Ovis aries: one gene and its partner. The protein of the gene in region 2 purifies or fractionates together with the protein of the main gene of each other region. This does not show direct contact. Links are inferred from orthologs where the notes say so. Each region holds a gene or a part of one and is shown on either strand. Other genes may lie near its edges. The genes, in order: SP1 and KLF6.

What was found.
Region 1: the proteins of KLF6 (region 2) and SP1 purify together in Homo sapiens (affinity purification with western blotting, with the first as the bait; 3 studies listed by BioGRID). This does not show direct contact. The link is inferred for Ovis aries from reciprocal best matches to the Homo sapiens genes KLF6 and SP1.

Annotation. Positions count from the first base shown.
Region 1 is NC_056056.1:133,122,271-133,126,080, reverse strand, and holds part of SP1 (transcription factor Sp1), read left to right. Parts: coding exon 1-434; intron 435-3,810. UniProt on the Homo sapiens protein: Transcription factor that can activate or repress transcription in response to physiological and pathological stimuli.
Region 2 is NC_056066.1:44,181,102-44,185,406, reverse strand, and holds the start of KLF6 (Krueppel-like factor 6), read right to left. Parts: upstream 3,035-4,305; 5' UTR 2,928-3,034; coding exon 2,724-2,927; intron 1-2,723.

The DNA of each region.
Region 1 (3,810 bases), on a different chromosome or scaffold from region 2:
CCTCCAAGCCGCCCCATTGTCAGGGCAGACCTTTACAACTCAAGCTATCTCCCAGGAAACCCTCCAGAACCTTCAGCTTCAGGCTGTTCCAAACTCTGGCCCCATCATCATCCGGACACCAACAGTGGGGCCCAATGGACAGGTCAGTTGGCAGACTCTTCAGCTGCAGAACCTCCAAGTTCAGAACCCACAAGCCCAGACAATCACCTTGGCCCCAATGCAGGGTGTTTCTTTGGGGCAGACCAGCAGCAGCAATACCACCCTTACACCTATTGCCTCAGCTGCCTCCATCCCTGCCGGCACAGTCACTGTGAATGCTGCTCAGCTCTCCTCCATGCCTGGCCTCCAGACCATTAACCTCAGTGCATTGGGTGCTTCAGGAATCCAGGTCCACCAGCTTCCAAGCCTGCCCTTGGCGATAGCAAATGCCTCAGGTAAGACTTGAAATCTTGTGCATTTATCTCTAGAGCTACTTAGCATCTCAGCTGAAACCACTGAGTCTAAAGAAGAGGGAGTAGAATCTTTTGAGGGCAGTGCTTCTGAGGGCAAGTCATTTAGAGAAATAGCAATGATTTTAAGTCATTTGGAGCTGACTTAATAAGAACTTTTTCCTCTTCAGTTAATCTGTCCAGAAAGGAGCATTTCTGGGCAGTGTCCTTGGGGTCTGTACTTTCAGTGCCTGGTACTACAGTACAAGAGTGGGCAAACTTTTTCTTTAAAGGGCCAGATAGTAAATATTTTAGGCCTTGTGGGCCACATAAGTTCTCAGTTATGTGTACTTTTTTGTTTCTGCAACCTTTTAAAAATATAAAATATTCTTACCTTGAGGGCTTTATTTGGCTTGAGGGTTCTTCTCTGCTGATAGGAATGGATTATAAACTTATCTGTAGGGTAGTTATTAAATCATCAGATATTTCTCACAAACTGTGAGAAAGCAGGGGAAAGCAGGGGAAAACTGATGGATTCCAAAGGACTTCAACAAACTAAGTTCCCTGGTTAATCTTTTAGTTAACCAGAAGAGCTACCCTTTGAGGTTTAATTTTTTCAACTCCTACTTAGCTTGAAAGTATTAATGTGTATTTTTAATAAGCTTCCTAGGTGATTTTCTTCTGTTTTGTTTCTTAAGCCTCCTAGGTAGTGATTCTAATACTTTCTAGATTAGAGAGCCACTTTCTAGACTGCTTTGAAACTAGTGTATGGTTGAAAGGTAGGAGAGAACAGAAGTGGGGCACAGAGTGGAGTGGGGAGATGGAATTGAGAGGAATTAGAAGTAAGAACTTTGAGGGGGAAAGAGAATTGTCAAGGAAGGGGATGTATATATTGGAATGTATGTTGAATCAGTTGACACTACTATTCAGTCATTTATTTTAAACTGTATTTTACTAGTATTGGTTAATTTGAAATTTAAAACCTCTATTTAAAACGGTGAGAATTTATTTAGAGTTTATCATTTTAAATTTCATGGTGATAGAACTAATCTTTAATGAAGCACGTTAGGATACATATGCATCTTTATATTCTGGCATGATATATAGAAATTATGATGAGAAGTTTAATACCACTGAACTTCTACTTCTGTTGGTGTATCTGTGGATTTGTTAATTGTTTACTTTTATTATAGAGTTCTCATTCTGTTTAGATTGGTTCTTATGTAAGAGAGGGTAACAAATAGGCAACCATATTTCCTGCTTCCTGCAGCTTAGGAAAATCTGTGGTGGGGAGTTCTGCTCAAGTTCACTGCTTTCTTACAGTCTTGTATGTTTAAAATTACTACATTTTGAGCCTTAACAGACAGAAATTTTGTTAGTGAATTGGAATTTTTAAAATAGAAGGTTAGAGCTGAAAGAGACCTTAGGAATCATCTCATACTCCTGCCTTATTTTCCCGATAAGGACTTTGAGATACTGGAAGCACGTATGTTATGAGACTACTCACTGTTAGTTCTAGTCTGGCGCATCCATTACCTATTAATTTTAACTTGGGACAAGAGATGTCATGTTTCAACTTGGGACATGCTTTAAATTGTTAAAAATCTTTTGGAAAATATATCTTTTGTTAGTTTGGAATTTAAGGCTAGAGAGCTGGCAAGTGTTTATAGACTAAAAATTATGTGAGTAGAAATAGGAAGAGTTTATAAAAACTGAACCTAACAGCTTTGAAAATTAGACACTTTCTGGGCAACCTACGTTTGTGTGTTTGTTTTCTCTTTGGTCTCAAGTTATTGAGATTGTTGCAGATAGTATTAATTTGGATCCTTGCAGTGTGTAAACGGTTGATAACTTGAGCTCCAAGGAACAGTTATGAGACACTTTCATTGCTAAATCATGGTCTGGGGAAGTCTGCCATTTACTTTGTCATAGGATAGGGCTACCTTCCTAGCTGTTATTGATGGTCTCTGAGCTCTAGAAAACGCATGCCTTTCTATAAGATAGTAGCAGCTTGACATTCACTAAGAAGAGAATGAAGCTCTGAAAGGCCATTTTGTGAGAGTTGAGATTGCTTTGTTAATAGTGGTTTTGAAGATATGTGTTTCCTCCTTTCTGGTTAGTCATAGTTGTGCAACATGTTTTCCCCTTCAATTGATCTGACTTCAGCCTTAATGAAAGATAATGCAGTCATTTCCTGGAAGCTTAGTGCTCTTTAGCTGTTGCCTGGCTGCTACAAAGTCTCTCATTTTACCCCTTTTTCTGGTATATAGTTATTTTATTAGAAAAATTCAGCCTCTTGGCAGTATGATGTAGTGGAAAGAGCGATTAATATGAGCTCATGTTGTAAGATAGGTAAGTAGATAGCATTCTGCAAAGGGAGCCATTATTTTTAAATGGTTGTGGAAGACTGCAGCTTCTGTGTCACTTAATAGATTTAGTCTTTTTTTTTTTGGCCCTACCGCATGGCTTCTTGTAGGATCCTAGTTCCCTAAATAGGGATTGAACCCTTACACCCCCACCTCCCACCTCTAGCAGTGAAATTGAAGAGTCCCAGCCACTGGACGGCCAGGGAATTTCCACATTTATTATTTTTAAAAGTCATCTTTTAAAACTTTTCTAAGTTCTCTTGTTGACTTTTATTATATTTATTTGTTAGTTTGAATATACAGGCAAAGGCACAAACTTAGACCCCAAATCAGCCACCCATCTCTGTATTCCTGTTTTTCACAGTTCTGCCACTGGTGGGTGATAGTGAAGTAGGGACCACCCGTGGAATGATCTATTGGCTCTTAGTTTTTGTTGTTATTTTTTAAGTGAGCAGCTTTTCCTTTTTTAAAAAATTAACACCCTGTCCCCTTTATCCTTGTATCAACACTCTTTTCCTCTCATTTGGTAGTTATACGCTCTGATCTCGGTTCTAGGTTTTTTGTGTTTTTTTTTTTTTTAAGCTTCAAGCTTCAGACTTTTTTCTCAGCCCTGGCTAAGTTCAAAAAACTCTTCCCCAAGGTTGAGGAGGGGCCAGTTTTGAAAGACTTAGTTTGGATGACTTCGTGGGAGTTCTGCCTAACAAAGAGTGCGGGACTGGGCTTTGGCAAGAGAATAAAACATATTTCCTTGATAGCTATAATTGACTCATGAAGCAAATTTCAGACACTAAAAATAAAAATTTCACATCTGCTTAGTTTTATTGGGGTCAGGAAAATGTCTCCTCTTAGAAGTTAAGTTGAATGCGATACCAGAGTTGGTCTGCCAACAGTGTCGCTAAACTTGGGGTCAGATTGCTGAGACCTATTTTGTTAACAGAGTTGTATTTTAGACTAGTTCATTTGAACATAAGTGTTAAGTGGGTTTAGTTGGTTTAAATGTGTCCAGAATTATCATT
Region 2 (4,305 bases):
ACCAAAACATGCAGGAGCCAAGGGCAGATCAACTGTGGCCTTGCCACTATAGGACTCCGTGTCTGTGGCAGAGCAAGAGGAGAGCTATCTCTAAGAACGGGACACGTTCAGAAGGAAAACCAGGGCGAAGCCTCTCCCCGCTTTCCCGAGGTGGACCGCAACGGCCACGAATGGCTGATGGCCACAGAGGAGCTGGCTTCTGTTAAGAGTTACAGTGTTGACGTTTCTAATGAGTTTCTGTTAGCCACACAAAGGACACCAGCCTCCGACACCCCCACCCCCACCCAACAGGTTTAACCAGATTATCAGACAGCCTCCAGAACCCTGTGCATGAAGGACACCCAGGCAGCCTGCTTCTGCGGGCCTGCTGCCCGCAGCACGGTGAGCTCTGACATGGCCATGCGTCCCCTCTGGAGAACCGCTGACAGCACAGGCCGCGCCCAGCCGGGGCAGACGCAGCCAGGGGGACGTCTAGGGTCAGGAACATCAACCGAGCTGCCCAGAAGCTACCCGTTTCCTGTGGAGGAGCCCAGACCTTAGTAGGCTTTCAAAGAATGCCATTCCCAAGTGCAGGGCCATGTGCGCACACAACTTAAATGACTTCCACAGTGGTCAGAGGAAAACAACAACAGGAGTGGAAAAATGGCTCCAGAATGGCCATCTGCTTTTGCAAAGGATGCGGGAGGGGAAATTCCTTTCCCGGCCCTGCTGGGAGTCCCACAGTGGACTAGAACTTTATCTGCTGGCCAAGAGTACAACTGTATGAGTCATCACTCTATTTCTTTCACGCAATGCCAAAGGAGACTTCCTTTTGAAATTCTGACCAGCGGCCAAAAAAAGGACCCGGTTCAAATATACATGCAGTGTGTCATGGACAGAGTGCCCCCCCCCAGCCCCACAACCAACCTTTCCAGAAGCTACAACTGCCGAGACACCAGCATCCCCTCTCCCCACCATCTCAAACTTTCTAGCCACTGGAAAAGAAAAACGGTAGGAAACATTTTAGGATTAAATTATGTCTGCCTTATCTTCACTAGGATCAACTGCCTACATGTCCATATAAGGTTGTCTATACAACTGCAAGTCTACAGATTTACATTGCTACAGCAAACGCCACTCTCTTTTTTAAGCAAATCATTTTCAGGGCTAGCCAAGCCCACCCAAAGGGCTCAGCCTTGCTTATTTAGCAGGGTGTCTGCAATCAGAATATATCCTTCCCCCCTCCCCCTACCAGACTCTTCACACCGCAAGCAGGAGCAAGCAGAGGGGGGAAAAAACAATCATTGTTTTCTTGTTACCCCTAAAATTAGACGTCTAGGTTACAAAGCACCCTCCAGTGTTCTGAGGAGAGACTGGCAAGGTATCTTATGGATGTTCCAAAGAAAAAGGAAAGCATGTTTACTGAGACCTTGTTAAACTTTAATAATCTGGCTAATTTAAAATCCCCATTATGCCTAGGAGCACTGGGGACCAGAATGAAGCTCTTGGGGAGAGTTTAAAAGCCTCTGAAGGCAACCCAGAGCTCAGCCTGGCTTGTGGCCCAAATCCCAAATGCCCAAGGAAACTACTTAGATCGATTTCAATCACATCCTAGGAAGCTTCTTTAGTAGGAAAAGCTGGGAGGGGAGAGGGAAGGGAGGGCTGTGAACAATGAGGCAGGCATGTGAAGGTTGTTCCACTTTGTATTTCATCCCCCTTAAAAGCCTTCTAAGCTTTGAAACCCACAGAATATATGCGATCTGCTAATTCACTTTGTGACAAAAAGCAAACAGCCTAGTAGGGCAGAGACAACCCCAAAACCCTCCTATCTTTTAAAGACAATGGGACAAGTGTCAGAATCTCTCTCCTTTCAGGCAATCCTAATGCAGGAGAAGGGGGAAAAATTGAGTTTTTCAAATGTCCAATGCCCCAAATTCCAATTCCACTAAAAAATGCCGCAAACAGACTCCTCTTCCCAAACTGAGACTAGAAGCAATTCGGACAGGCTCATTGTCATATGACTGATAAGTCACTGGTTGTGCAAACATTGGTCCCCCCCCCTTTTTTTTTTCTGGTCAACAAAAGAAGCAGGTAAGAAAAACAAGGCAGATGGAGGCAAATCTTAAGGATTCCCAAGGTAAAGAAACTAAAAATGGCCTGGTAGAGAAAAGGAGCTTGTGGGTGTTTCGCTGGTGAAATTCTTAAGTAAAAAAAAGAAAGAAAGAAAAACCTGTATGTACAAACACCAAAAAAGCAAAACGAAAACAAAATCCCTAAAAAAAAAAAAAAAAAAGAAGAAGAAGAAGAAGAAAAAATAGCCTTGGCAGTACATGCGGGTTCATATGACCAGGTCCAGCTGTGGAGAGCCTGGAGCTGGAACAAGCACCAAACTTCTGCCAAGGGCTGGGGCCGAGATCAGGCCGCGGAGCTGGGTCTACGCTCGGGAGACGGTTCAGCAGCCCCAGAAAACAGCAAGAACACGGGGAGCGCCCGGCGCCGCTGCGCCCCACTCAGATGACAACTCCGCTCCACGCTCTGAAAGGCCCCTTTAAAGTGCCTTCTGCGCCGGAGGCAAAAGTACGTTTTAACAATAATTATTTTAATTTTTTTTTAAAAATTTACCCAAACCATTAAAAAAAGAAGAAAAAGAACTGCACCTCCAAGCTCACACCGTCCTGCGGGTGCATGCACGCACTCCATGCTCGGCGCACCGGGACACCTGGCTCACGAAAATCCTTATTTACCTGTTGCCAATATTCCTCCAGGGAGGGCAGCGCCGAGAAGTAACCAGTCTCGTGCACAATCTGGAGTTCCTGGAAGATGCTGCACATTGGGAGCACATCCATGTCGGGTTGGAAGAGACCGTCCCCGCTGCTGTAAAAACAGGGAGGCGTGCAGTCTGCAGTCGGGAGCGCGGCGGCCGTGCCTGCAGCGCCGGGGAAGTTCATGCAAACTCAAGTGGGCAGCGATTAGGCGCCACGGGTTCGGGTCCTGGCCGGAGCCCGGAGACGCGCTCGCGAGCCCGCACAATATTTGCAAACACCGGACTGACTGCAAACGTAACCCCTGCAAAACTTCCCTATTCAAAGCTCCGCTGCCAGCCTCCCCTCCTCCCCGCCCAGCTCCCCCCGCCGCCGCCTCCCCACGTGACTCGCCCGCGCCCGCCCCGCGCGCCGCCCAATCACGCCGCTCCCGGCCCGGGGGCTGCGCGGCGATGATGTCAGCTCCGGCCAATCGCGGGCGGCGGCTCACCGCGGCCCCGCCTGGCGTGACCGAGCCTCTCCATCACCGCCTTCGCCATTGGCAGAATTCGAACTTCGGCCGGTTCTGATTGGGAGGCGGTTTCGCAGGCTATTTTTAGCAGGGTATATAAGGCGCGGGCTGTCTCGCGCCGGAGGAGTCGGAGCTGGGAGGTGCGCGGCCGAGAGGCTGCGTGCGCCGCGGCCGGTCGGGCCGAGGGGACCCGGTGTCCCTGCCCTTCTCGTCCCGGTCTCGGTCCTGGCCCCGGTCTTCCCGTCCTCGTCCCCGAAGCCCTCGTCCCCGAAGCCCTCGTCCCCGAAGCCCTGGTCCCCGTCCGTCGGGCTCATCGCCCGGGCCCGGCCTTGGTTTCCCCGTCGTCGTGTCCCCGTCCTTGTCCCCTCAGCCCTGGTCCACGTTCGTCGGGTCTGTCGCCCGGGCCCTGGTCCCCTGACCCTCCGCCGAGCTGAGGGGAGCGCGGCTGGGTCTCCTCTGTCCCTCGCTCCGACCTCGGGCTGGCCGGCCGTTCTCTATCCCCCTCCGTCCTTCCACCCTCTCGGTGCCCCCTCCTGCCCAGCTGTAGATTCCCGTCTCCATCCCCGTCTGTCACCCTCTTTCCCCCCTCCTTTTCGCTCCATTATCCCTCTGTACCTGCCCCGTTTCCATCTGCACCCACCACCCGCGCTGTGTCCCCCTCCCTCCCCGTTCCATCCCCCTCTGTCCCCAGGTGGCACCTGTGACCCCGGAGTGGGGGGCTGACCAGCCCTGCAGGTGTGCTGAGGGACAGGAGGGCCCTAGTCGCAGGGCTGTGTTGTATATGAATCTGAGTTTCCCCCTTCAGCCTCCCTCACAAGGACAGGGCACTTACCTGGGGGACCACGGCGGTGCCACATCCTCACCCCCGCTGCCTGCCTAACCTGCAGGAGCAGAGTAGCCTGGAAGACCCAAGTTGGATCTCCTGGCTCTTGAGGGGGTTATGTGCACTCTTGATTCTCCCGAACACATTTTTATTTTTAAAAAGAGGGCATCTTGTTGGGGCAGGTGGGGTTATAAATAGAGGGAGCCTATAACCAATCTTAGTAGGGTCCC